3 linked regions of the Saccharomyces cerevisiae S288C genome follow. The gene in region 2 interacts genetically with the main gene of each other region. Each region holds a gene or a part of one and is shown on either strand. Other genes may lie near its edges.

What was found.
Region 1: mutations in PUB1 (region 2) and ATG32 together harm fitness more than expected from each alone (negative genetic interaction), as found in Saccharomyces cerevisiae (2 studies listed by BioGRID).
Region 3: mutations in PUB1 (region 2) and YEH1 together harm fitness more than expected from each alone (negative genetic interaction), as found in Saccharomyces cerevisiae (2 studies listed by BioGRID).

What each region holds. Positions count from the first base shown.
Region 1 is NC_001141.2:73,748-77,503, forward strand, and holds ATG32 (mitophagy protein ATG32), read right to left. Parts: upstream 2,027-3,756; coding exon 437-2,026; downstream 1-436. Other genes in the region: pantoate--beta-alanine ligase PAN6, read right to left, coding at 2,607-3,536. UniProt on the Saccharomyces cerevisiae protein: Mitophagy-specific receptor that recruits the autophagic machinery to mitochondria and regulates selective degradation of mitochondria.
Region 2 is NC_001146.8:600,766-604,521, forward strand, and holds PUB1 (Pub1p), read left to right. Parts: upstream 1-2,141; coding exon 2,142-3,503; downstream 3,504-3,756. Other genes in the region: YNL018C (uncharacterized protein), read right to left, coding at 1-1,009. UniProt on the Saccharomyces cerevisiae protein: May be associated with hnRNA within the nucleus and remains associated during nucleocytoplasmic mRNA transport, once the proteins are in the cytoplasm, disassembly of PUB1-RNA complexes may occur prior to PAB1 binding and formation of a translationally competent RNP complex.
Region 3 is NC_001144.5:123,439-127,194, reverse strand, and holds the start of YEH1 (sterol esterase), read right to left. Parts: upstream 1,662-3,756; coding exon 1-1,661. Other genes in the region: mRNA-binding protein PUF3, read left to right, coding at 2,481-3,756. UniProt on the Saccharomyces cerevisiae protein: Mediates the hydrolysis of steryl esters, thereby playing a central role in lipid metabolism.

The sequences.
Region 1 (3,756 bases), on a different chromosome or scaffold from region 2:
CGGCGCAAAAAGATCGGGTAATTTGGGCGTTTAAGTACATGAAGGTAGAATATTTCAAATATGATGTCAAAGGCGATAATAGTAACTTCTAAATGCATTCACATTTACAGCGATAGTTTCCTTGAAGTCGTCGGAATACGCTCTATGCGCTATGGTTGATTTTTAATTGTTTTTTTGTGTTGAGACGCGAAAGTAAGGAATATATAAAGAAACTTAAATTTGCTAACAGAAGAAATATTTTATAAGCTGTTTGTTTATGTATTTATGAAACCAAACAAAAAATTGCCTGTATAATGAAAGAATTTTCATATTTGATAAGCTTCTATGTAATTAAGGAAAGGAACCAAACGGGGAATATAGATACGCAGTGAGAGAAACAGAAGTGATAGTAAAAAAGTGAGTAGGAACGTGTATGTTTGTGTATATTGGAAAAAGGTTACAATAGAATATAACCCAGTGCCAAAATCCGATTAGATTCATCAATGGAAAATTCAGAGCTTTTATTAAGGTTCTCCAAAAATTTTAAAGGTTTAGAAAGAGCATGCAAGACAAAAGTATTCATTTTGCCCCAAGTCTCCTTGATTATGGTAAGACTTTTCATAATGAATCCATCGGAGTGGAAGTTTATCTGAAGCGTACCCTTATCAAACCATAAAAACTGCTCAGTTGAAGAAGGAGATGCAGTGGCGGGCGTATTGATTGTGTCGCTAGAGGAATCTAAGGAAAGTAAAGAGGCCAATATGGAGGGCCGCAAACTTAAAGACTTAACTGTTTGGTGTTCGTATGCTGCAGTGACAAAGTATGTCACACAACATCCAAAACTAATTCCTATAGTAATTGAAATGCCCCAAGTGAACCAGCTCGTGAAGAACTTCTGCTTCTTTCTCTTGGGTTTTTTATTCGATTTAGGGGATTTCTTTTTTGAGTTTTCGGCTTTTTTGTTACGACAATAGGACCGAGACTTTGTATGTATAGCTTCGTCATCATTATCTTCCTCATTCACATCTTCTCCGTATTCCAAGGATAAATCTTGTAATCTTTGAAACATTTTTTTCAAATCTCTTTTGTTGGTCACAACAACTGGAGGAAACAATAATTTAACAAGTTTATTCCTTAAGAATGACTTCAGGACGTTTTTCACTTGGATGACTTGCCCAGGCTGGCAGATCGGTATTACAGGCTTGCCTTGAGAATATTGAACGATCCTGTTTAGCAGAGATACCATCTCTCTCAGCTCCTGAAAAATTATGACAATCCCCGTATATTGCGGGAATGTTGCGGAATCGTGATATTTGGGTAATTCAAAAAGAGATTGGTATTCTTTTGGTATTGATTGATAAAAGCTGGAACCAGTCCTTCCCAGTATTAGAAGGCGAAAAACTGGATTCTTTTGTGTTAGTGATAGTTTGGGCATAACAAAAGAGTTTGTCGAAGAAGTCAAGCTTTTTGTTATCGTCACACTATCTTCCTCAAAAGCCTCATCTTCATCACCATCATCATCTTGCTCGTTAAAAGGAGTTTTTTCCTTACCAGGCAAGGGCAGCGATATTATCTTCTGTAACTGTTTAAAGGGATGAGACGGTGAAACGACATTTGCTCCTTCTTGTCCTTGTTTAATAATATTTATTATATCAGCAGCAGGCGCTTGAAGCAGCTCTTGTTCTTCTTCAGAAGTATCACTAGATGATAGAATACTTCCATTAGTCGTTTGAGAAGAGCACCTTTCTGGGATGAAAGAAGCGCCCAAGTCCAAAGGCTGAATGGCTTGCCACGATCCTGATATACTATCGTTTACATTGTGGTTGCCGGATATGTCAATGGACGTAACCAAGTTCTGTCCCATTGGCGAAGGCGAATGCCCTGTCTTACTCAACAATTCCAATACTGATAGATGAGGGTCAAGTAAGCCTTTGTCTTCCCCAGTTTGTGCTTCAGAGCATGTGTGAATAGTCGTTGACGAGGAATCAGGTGGCATGCTTTTAGATGAGGATCCTTTACCTTCCCTTTGTTGGTATTCCAAAACCATATGTTTACTGTTCCTGGCAGATTTTTTTTGCTTTTGTGATTAGGACTTCAATATTGCTTATCGATAAGAGAAGTCACAACTGATAAGAAAAATTGTCAAAAACGAGAAATGGGCTTTGTAAGAAAATATTTCAACAATAACCCAAAAATATAGATTTTAAAAGTATAATGATTATGCCTCAGGAAGCTTACTGCACCTTATTTCCTAAATAACTTTTTTATTACTTAATAGATCTGTTTCTTTTTTTTTTTTTTGTAAAAGGGGTGCGTCAAACAATAGATATATGCTCTAGACAGACGGTGATCTAAGATATTTGAGAAAGCACGAAACAAGTGCCAAACAACTTCAACTTTGCTGAAGTAGTATAAACTTTGCTTTTACTATGCAAACTGTGAAAGACGATTTGTCCTTTCCATATTTGTGTTTTGAGCGATGGGGATGTCGTCCCTTCAGCCGTCTAAAAAAAAAGTCATCAAGCGTGAAATCTATCATCCCGTTGTTGGTTTAAAAGAATATCGTGCATACTGTATAAGAGTGGTATATACTGCAACACAGACACGGGAAGGCCCAATCACCTAGTTTAAATAACGATGTTATCTATTAGTCTGACGACCGTATCGGGTTTTTCGCGGTCAGTCACGTATACAGCACAACTAATGACTATTGGCTGCTGTTCGCTGGTGTTTTCAACATCGGAGAGTTCATCAAGAGTCTTAAAATCTGCTAAGGAAACATAGTCGATTTTGAAATCGTGGGAATCAACGTAGGGTGCCCATATTTGAGTCACAGTATCGATGATTTCTGATCTGGAGAGACGTCCCCCTGGTGCTAGTCTCCTAATAGCATTTTCCGCAGCTTTCAGCCCGCGGTAAAGGTTTTCAGAGATCTTTAAAGACTCTGGACAAAGATATTTGTTTCTACTACTCAGAGCCAGTCCATTATTGTTTCTTACAATAGGCATCATTTGTAGCCTTGTATTAACAAACAGTTCGTCCACCATACACTGTAAAACAATGAACTGTTGAATGTCCTTCTGCCCAAAATAAGCCACATCCGCCATAACGATATTGAATAGTTTAGTCACGACAGTTGCCACGCCCCTAAAGAAGTTAGGTCTCGTCTTCCCCTCTAATTTTTCACTCAATCCAAGAACACTAACAAAAGGGCCTTTCTGCTCTTCTATGTCGAGCGGAATTCCCTGTGGATACATCACGTGTGCATTAGGAGCAAATAGAACATCCACCTTCAACGACTCAAGCAATTTGATGTCGTCTGGCAAAGTTCGAGGATAGTTATCTAGATCTTCCGTTGGCGCAAACTGGGAGGGATTTACAAATATACTGACCACAGTATAGGTGTTTTCCTTCACAGACTGCGAGATCAAACTAGCGTGACCCGAATGCAGGCAACCCATTGTGGGAACGAACCCAATAGTTTCTCTAAATCTAGTTTCCCTCAGCTCCTGTGTTCTCCATTGAACAACTTCTTCGACAGTATGGAAGATTTTCATCAATTCTATATGGATATGCAGTATAAAAACTTGTATAAAACAGTGCAGTATCAACACACACCACTTCTTGTACACATAAATATGTACGCTACATCGAGAAATGTTCATTAATCTCTTGTTGGAAAATATGACAAAAGAAAAAAACTCGTTAAAGTAACATTTACCCGGATATCTGTTCAGCCAACATTATAAAAAAGATGGGCGCTTAATTTCCACTCTT
Region 2 (3,756 bases):
TTCCCATTTTGCTTTCAAACCAGTTCTGTGGCCTGTCAAGGTACTGTTGCATGTATGAAGGAACTACAGTAGTCAACGTGTGGTTAGACTGGGAAAATTCCGCTGTGGACACGACGCTGCAGCTTATATTTTGATTGCAGGGAGCAGGAGCGCAGGCATCTTGTTTAGATTTTCGGCTTGGATAATGTTTGTGGTGATCAGTGGAATTTGTTGGGCAGTAAATTTCAGTTGGAATGATAGATTCATTCGTCTCTTTTGTTCTGGAGTCCTTGGTGCGGCGGAAATCAAAGCAAGTCACTTCTGCGTTAAGCGATGCGAAATTGCCGTCTGGAAATGACGATATGTGTGGAGAATGAGGAGGATTCCATGACGAATAAACTGATGAGGATGTGCTAACAGATGAGGTTAGTGAGGGTACCGATTCGTTGTTTTCTGATGCAGAGTCTGTTGTGGGAGATGTGGTAGCGTTATTTCTTTGCACAAGAGAAGATGGGAGCATAGCACGGTTGTGGGAGGAGGAAGAAAACATCACGTTGCAAGTATCGTTTACGGAGTGGGATAAGAGGTAGGAGGTTGTCATAGCGGTGCTTTCTTCCTGATGCATGGCAGAAGAAGTTGGCAGTAATTCGTTTATTATGGTGACATTGTCGTGATTAGAAAGGACTGTCTCTTTTACCATTGCCTCGGGTATGTTTTTTGGCGCCTGCCTTGAACTTACTCCAGAACAAGCCTCAGCAGAAGAATGACCGGAATGATTCCTCTTATACACGTTCCAGAGTGGAGCATTCTTGACATCATAAAAAAAGTTGCTGACAGGATCTTTGGACTGGTTGACGTTAAGTGGTTCCGTAGCTGGTCTGATGTTTTCTTGTACGGTATCACTGACGGCTGAGAAACCTTCAGAGGAACCGTTTTCGGGAACAGACTTGGAGGATTGCAAATTAAGCCATTGAAAGTCTAGCCCAACCTTGTTGCAGAAGGCCTTGAACTCCTGGAAAGATGTAGACATTATGTGGGCGAAAAACAAAATTAGACCAACGCTTTAGCAAATTTTTTCAACCTCAAATTGATATTTGAAGATTAGATCGGATGGTTTTTTTTCCTGTGGTGTAGGCCAAGCTTAAACAAGGTTTTAAGTGAAAGTGGAAATAATTGTGATAAACATGCGGAAAGAGTGCCAGCCTTAAATAATTCCGCATTGTTGCTATGTCGTTTTGTTTTTGTTTTTGTTTTCGTCTTATTGGTATTTGTTCATTTTACGACCACAAAGGATCCAGGGCTTCTACTTGCACAGGGAGGGTTGCTTGGTTAATACAATGCAAAGGTCAGAGATATTAAGATTTGTGAAGGGTGCATTCAATGAGTTTTTCCTTTAATGTGCCCTAGAAAGGAAGTAGTACGAACATTTCTCAGTCGGAGTTTGCCGGAAATTCGAATGACAGTGTAAGTTGATTTTTGTGGCACAGAGATAATGAGCGGTGGTTCTGGCACACATTTGTGACGTTGGTTTGATAGTGTGGAGGGAGGGTGAAAAACAGATAACAATGGTCTCTTGGCCCAGTTGGTTAAGGCACCGTGCTAATAACGCGGGGATCAGCGGTTCGATCCCGCTAGAGACCATTCTTTTTTTACATTTCTCGCAATGTGATTTATTTTGCTTACCCTTCCCACTGCCGTTACAAGGGAGGTGAACGAAGAGGCTTGTTAGCATAAGGTTTACGCGTTGCGGTTGTAAGCACAATGTTCTTACTAAACCTCTGAAGATTAATTATCCTAACGTATACTAATTAATTCAAAGAGAATATTTACTCGTTCTCTTTTCATCATTTTGTAACATAATTCTTTACGTATTTTCACTTCGTACTTTTTTCAACTTTTTTTGCCTTCGCTTCTTTTTTGTTGTAATTTTTCAATTTTTTTTTTTCATCGTTGGCCGTCTTTCCTTGTCCTTCATTTTCCTCTCGTAATAATCATTCAACTACGGTAAAGCATGCCTTTCCTTTTTTCTACTCTGCAGTTATTTTCATAATATCTACTGTTTCCATTTCGTGCTTTAAGTTAGAGTTTAATCTTCCCTTCTATCATCTTAATAGCAGGTTCATAATAAGAAGATTACCACATCTACTCTTTGTTCGATTCCAATGTCTGAAAATAACGAAGAACAACATCAACAACAACAACAACAGCAACCTGTTGCCGTCGAAACTCCCTCGGCAGTTGAAGCTCCAGCATCAGCAGATCCTTCTTCTGAACAGAGCGTCGCTGTCGAAGGCAATTCTGAACAAGCTGAAGACAATCAGGGTGAAAATGATCCTTCCGTAGTTCCTGCTAATGCTATTACCGGTGGTAGGGAAACTTCCGATAGAGTTTTATATGTTGGTAACCTAGACAAAGCTATCACCGAAGACATTTTAAAGCAATATTTCCAAGTTGGCGGACCAATTGCTAACATCAAAATCATGATCGATAAGAATAATAAGAACGTCAATTACGCTTTTGTTGAATACCATCAATCTCACGATGCCAATATTGCCTTACAAACATTGAACGGCAAACAAATTGAAAACAACATTGTCAAAATCAACTGGGCCTTCCAATCCCAACAGAGTTCCTCCGATGATACATTTAACTTGTTTGTCGGTGATTTGAATGTTAATGTTGATGACGAAACTTTAAGGAATGCCTTCAAAGACTTCCCATCCTACTTGAGTGGTCATGTTATGTGGGACATGCAAACTGGTAGTTCAAGAGGTTACGGTTTTGTTTCCTTTACTTCTCAAGATGATGCACAAAATGCCATGGACAGCATGCAAGGTCAAGATTTGAATGGTAGACCGCTAAGAATCAACTGGGCTGCTAAGCGTGATAACAATAACAATAATAATTATCAACAGCGTCGTAACTACGGTAACAACAACCGTGGTGGTTTCCGTCAATATAACAGTAACAACAATAACAACATGAATATGGGGATGAATATGAACATGAATATGAATATGAACAACAGCAGGGGCATGCCACCAAGTTCAATGGGAATGCCAATTGGCGCCATGCCATTACCATCTCAAGGCCAACCCCAACAATCCCAGACCATTGGTTTACCTCCTCAAGTAAATCCTCAAGCTGTTGACCACATCATTAGAAGTGCCCCACCAAGAGTTACTACTGCCTATATCGGTAATATTCCGCACTTTGCCACTGAAGCTGATTTAATTCCGTTGTTCCAGAACTTCGGTTTTATTTTAGATTTCAAGCACTATCCAGAAAAGGGCTGTTGCTTCATAAAGTATGACACTCATGAACAGGCCGCTGTTTGTATTGTTGCCTTGGCAAACTTCCCATTTCAAGGCAGAAACTTGAGAACCGGTTGGGGTAAGGAAAGATCAAATTTTATGCCACAGCAGCAGCAACAGGGCGGTCAGCCACTTATAATGAATGACCAACAACAACCGGTTATGTCTGAGCAACAACAGCAACAGCAGCAACAGCAGCAACAACAATAAATATTATGAAGAAAAGTGGAATGAAACAAAAAGAAAGAATAAAGAGAGGCAACCTACAAATCCCAAGATAAAATAAAAAAAGAACGACAAGAATCCATTCATTATATTATACTATTTTTAAAAAAAAAATTACTACGAAAAAGGGAGAGAAAAAGAAGAAGAAACTCAATTTACTATTGCTCGAAAAATAAAAGGGCCTATAAACTTACTCTATTTTTTTAGTTTTTCTGTGTCTTATTTCCTTCCTTCGTCA
Region 3 (3,756 bases), on a different chromosome or scaffold from region 2:
TCAAAGGCGCTGGATGGCTTCTTGGAGTAATAGTTGTTCAAATTCTGTAAAATTGGTTTACCAATTCTCTCTATGACATCATGTGCCCATAGGACATCAATATGGGCATACTCATCAATGTACCAGATCTTGTAGTTGACATTCGACTCCACATTGACGAAATGATTGATTAGTCTTTCTCCGTCCACCAATCTATCTTGCTTTGGAACAAACAAGTAGATATTTGGGGCCTTTGATGCGTCTGAAAACCACTTAACATTGTCGGGGAACATCTTATGGGAACCAAATTTAAAACTTACCTTGTTGGGGTCGGGTGACAGCCACCATTGCATCAACTTCACTGAAACATGGACTGGCGAAAACAGGAAATGGCGATCTCTTAATGCGGTATCCCAAAGGGTATCGTTCCAATCAAACAGGTAATTGAAGATGGTGTAACAAACAAAGGAGAACAAGCTCTCACCAACGCACAAGTTTCTTACAATCATCATTATCTCAAAAAAGCTCGTTTCACCAAAGAACCAGGGATTTTCGATTTCCTTTGTCATAAGCTTAACAAACAATTTCTCGTTAAGTAAGGGACCAGGATACACTGCGGGGGCCAAGGCAATATAGTTTGCGATCTTAGAAGTGAAAAAAGATTCTTTAGATCCCGAACCGGGAGGGAAAAACTTATCTTCGTTGACCAAGCCCATAAACCCCTGTGTAGTGCCCTGAGAATGCGAGATCAAAGTAAGCTTTTCAAACTGCGTCTTAGCTAACACGGTATCAATCAAAAGGGTCAGATCGTACTTAACCATCTCGCGAAGGTCCCAGTCCCACCTGGAAGCTAGTGTCGGTACTTTCGCTTCGTTCCATTCCGGCCTAAACCCGCATCTGTTATTCCCTAACCATATGTCGTAACCGGATTGATACAGAAAATATGCCAGAGATTTTCTACCATTGGATGCGAACGAACCACTGCTTTGCAAAAGGCCATGTAGCATCAAAATGGGTGGCCTCTTCTTCTTGTCAGAATCTGTCGTTCTATATTTTGGTATCAAGTGCCACAAATCTATAACAAACCCATCTTCGGTCTCCAATCTAAATTCCTCTATTTGAATATTGTACTGGTTAAAATAATAATTAAGATCCGCAACTAATGTCAAGTCTTCCGATAAGATTAGATTCTGTAATGGATTGTCGCACTGTACAGGAATTTTTTCAAAAACCGGTTCATGATTGGCAATTTCATTGCTACTATTATTGAACTTTCCTTGCGTTACGCCTTCGGTAACTTTTTCCTTCTCGATAAACCTAAAAATAAGCTTTGTCAAAAATTTGTGAAAAAGGTTTTTATGCAGTGACGAGGACCCCACTTCGTGGTTCTTTTTACGGACAACCGTTCTTGTATGATCGTAGACGATACCGTTTTTCTTGTCATGTTCCAGATCGAGGTATGGCGTCGCGTATGCATTGGTTCTAGTGAGAACATGGTCATGGTGTACGTTTCTTTTACTTTCGTCATCAACTTCGATTTGGGTCGATGAACTCCTAGTGTCTCTGTGCTCATTTATAAAATGGTGTGCCAGCGCCAGAACAAGCACTACTGCCATAAAACAGCAGACTATGAACGTTGCTAGTAAATTCCTAGCTCTTTTCAACACCGCAGAAACACCCATCGTGTGAATTGTGCAGTAAATATACCTATATATAAAACTATTACTTTATCTGCAGCCATCTATATTAAAAAATAAGTATTTTTGTGTATAACAATAGATTTCTATATATATATGTATATATATATATATATATAAATTTAGATTAACCACAATATCATTTTATCGCTGCATTTTTTTCATCTTCTTTCGTTCCTTCGCGTTTCTTTTCTCGTATATAATAAGCTTTTGCACATTGCCTGCGATACGTCCGAAAAGGGAACGTTTTTTCCCGATCAGACCGCCCCAGAACTTCTCGAAGAAAAGTGCCCGAGGGCAGAGCAGCAAGACCTAAAAAATTCGTGCCGGGGTTTGAGCTAGAAAAAGAGGGCTAAAGATAAACATCCGATCGCTATCTACGGTAATTGCGCACTCTGTTACCCTGAACTGCATTTCTTTTTTCCTTCTAAAAATTGTGGAGAGAGGAAGATAATTTCCCAAATGTACCATTAGCACACTTGAGAATGTATATTGGATGTATGAAGCTTGATGAATAGGAGAAAAAAAAAAACAAAGAAAAGAAGGAAAAAGAAAAATAAGTGGTGCCTGCACATATTTGAATATCTACTGTAAATAGTATAACACTGCTTAGCTAATTTTTTTCTGGTCATCTGGTCTCTAAAGAGAAACATAAGAAAAAGATAGGAACATTGAAAGGCGGTGAAAAGGAAACTTCCTTGCTACTGATATATCTATAAGCATAGAAGTACGCAAGCAAACAAGAAAACAAACAAGAACTACGCATTTAAATTTCTTCTGAATAACGCAATATTGCGGGTATAAATGGAAATGAACATGGATATGGATATGGATATGGAACTCGCATCCATAGTTTCTTCTTTAAGCGCCCTGTCCCATAGTAACAACAACGGCGGTCAGGCCGCCGCGGCCGGCATTGTGAACGGCGGTGCTGCTGGATCACAGCAAATTGGCGGCTTCAGAAGGTCGAGTTTCACCACGGCAAATGAAGTAGATTCAGAGATCTTGCTGCTTCACGGTTCCAGTGAATCTTCACCGATCTTCAAGAAAACCGCCCTATCAGTTGGTACTGCTCCGCCATTCTCCACGAACTCGAAAAAGTTTTTTGGTAACGGCGGCAATTATTACCAGTACAGATCAACCGACACTGCCTCCCTGTCATCCGCATCGTACAATAACTATCATACTCATCATACTGCGGCTAATCTCGGGAAAAACAACAAGGTCAACCATCTTCTGGGCCAGTATTCAGCTTCCATTGCTGGTCCCGTTTACTACAATGGCAATGACAACAACAACTCTGGTGGGGAAGGGTTTTTTGAGAAGTTCGGAAAATCTTTGATTGACGGTACAAGGGAACTGGAATCTCAAGATAGACCCGACGCTGTCAATACTCAGTCCCAATTCATATCAAAAAGCGTCTCTAACGCCAGCTTAGACACACAGAATACTTTCGAGCAAAATGTCGAGTCTGACAAAAACTTCAACAAATTGAATAGGAACACTACTAACAGTGGTTCGCTTTACCACTCCAGTTCAAATTCAGGCTCATCTGCGTCTTTAGAGTCCGAAAATGCTCATTACCCCAAGAGAAATATCTGGAACGTAGCCAACACACCAGTATTTAGACCTAGTAACAATCCAGCCGCTGTTGGGGCCACAAATGTCGCGCTTCCTAACCAACAAGATGGGCCTGCAAATAACAATTTCCCCCCCTACATGAACGGCTTCCCACCCAATCAGTTTCATCAGGGCCCTCATTACCAAAACTTCCCCAACTACTTGATCGGATCTCCTTCAAATTTCATCTCCCAGATGATTTCAGTACAGATTCCAGCAAATGAAGACACCGAAGACTCAAATGGTAAGAAAAAGAAGAAGGCAAACAGACCTTCTTCTGTTTCTTCACCTTCGTCCCCTCCAAACAATTCTCCGTTCCCGTTTGCCTACCCCAACCCAATGATGTTTATGCCACCTCCACCACTCTCTGCTCCCCAGCAACAACAGCAACAGCAACAACAACAACAACAAGAAGACCAACAACAGCAACAGCAACAGGAGAATCCTTATATTTACTACC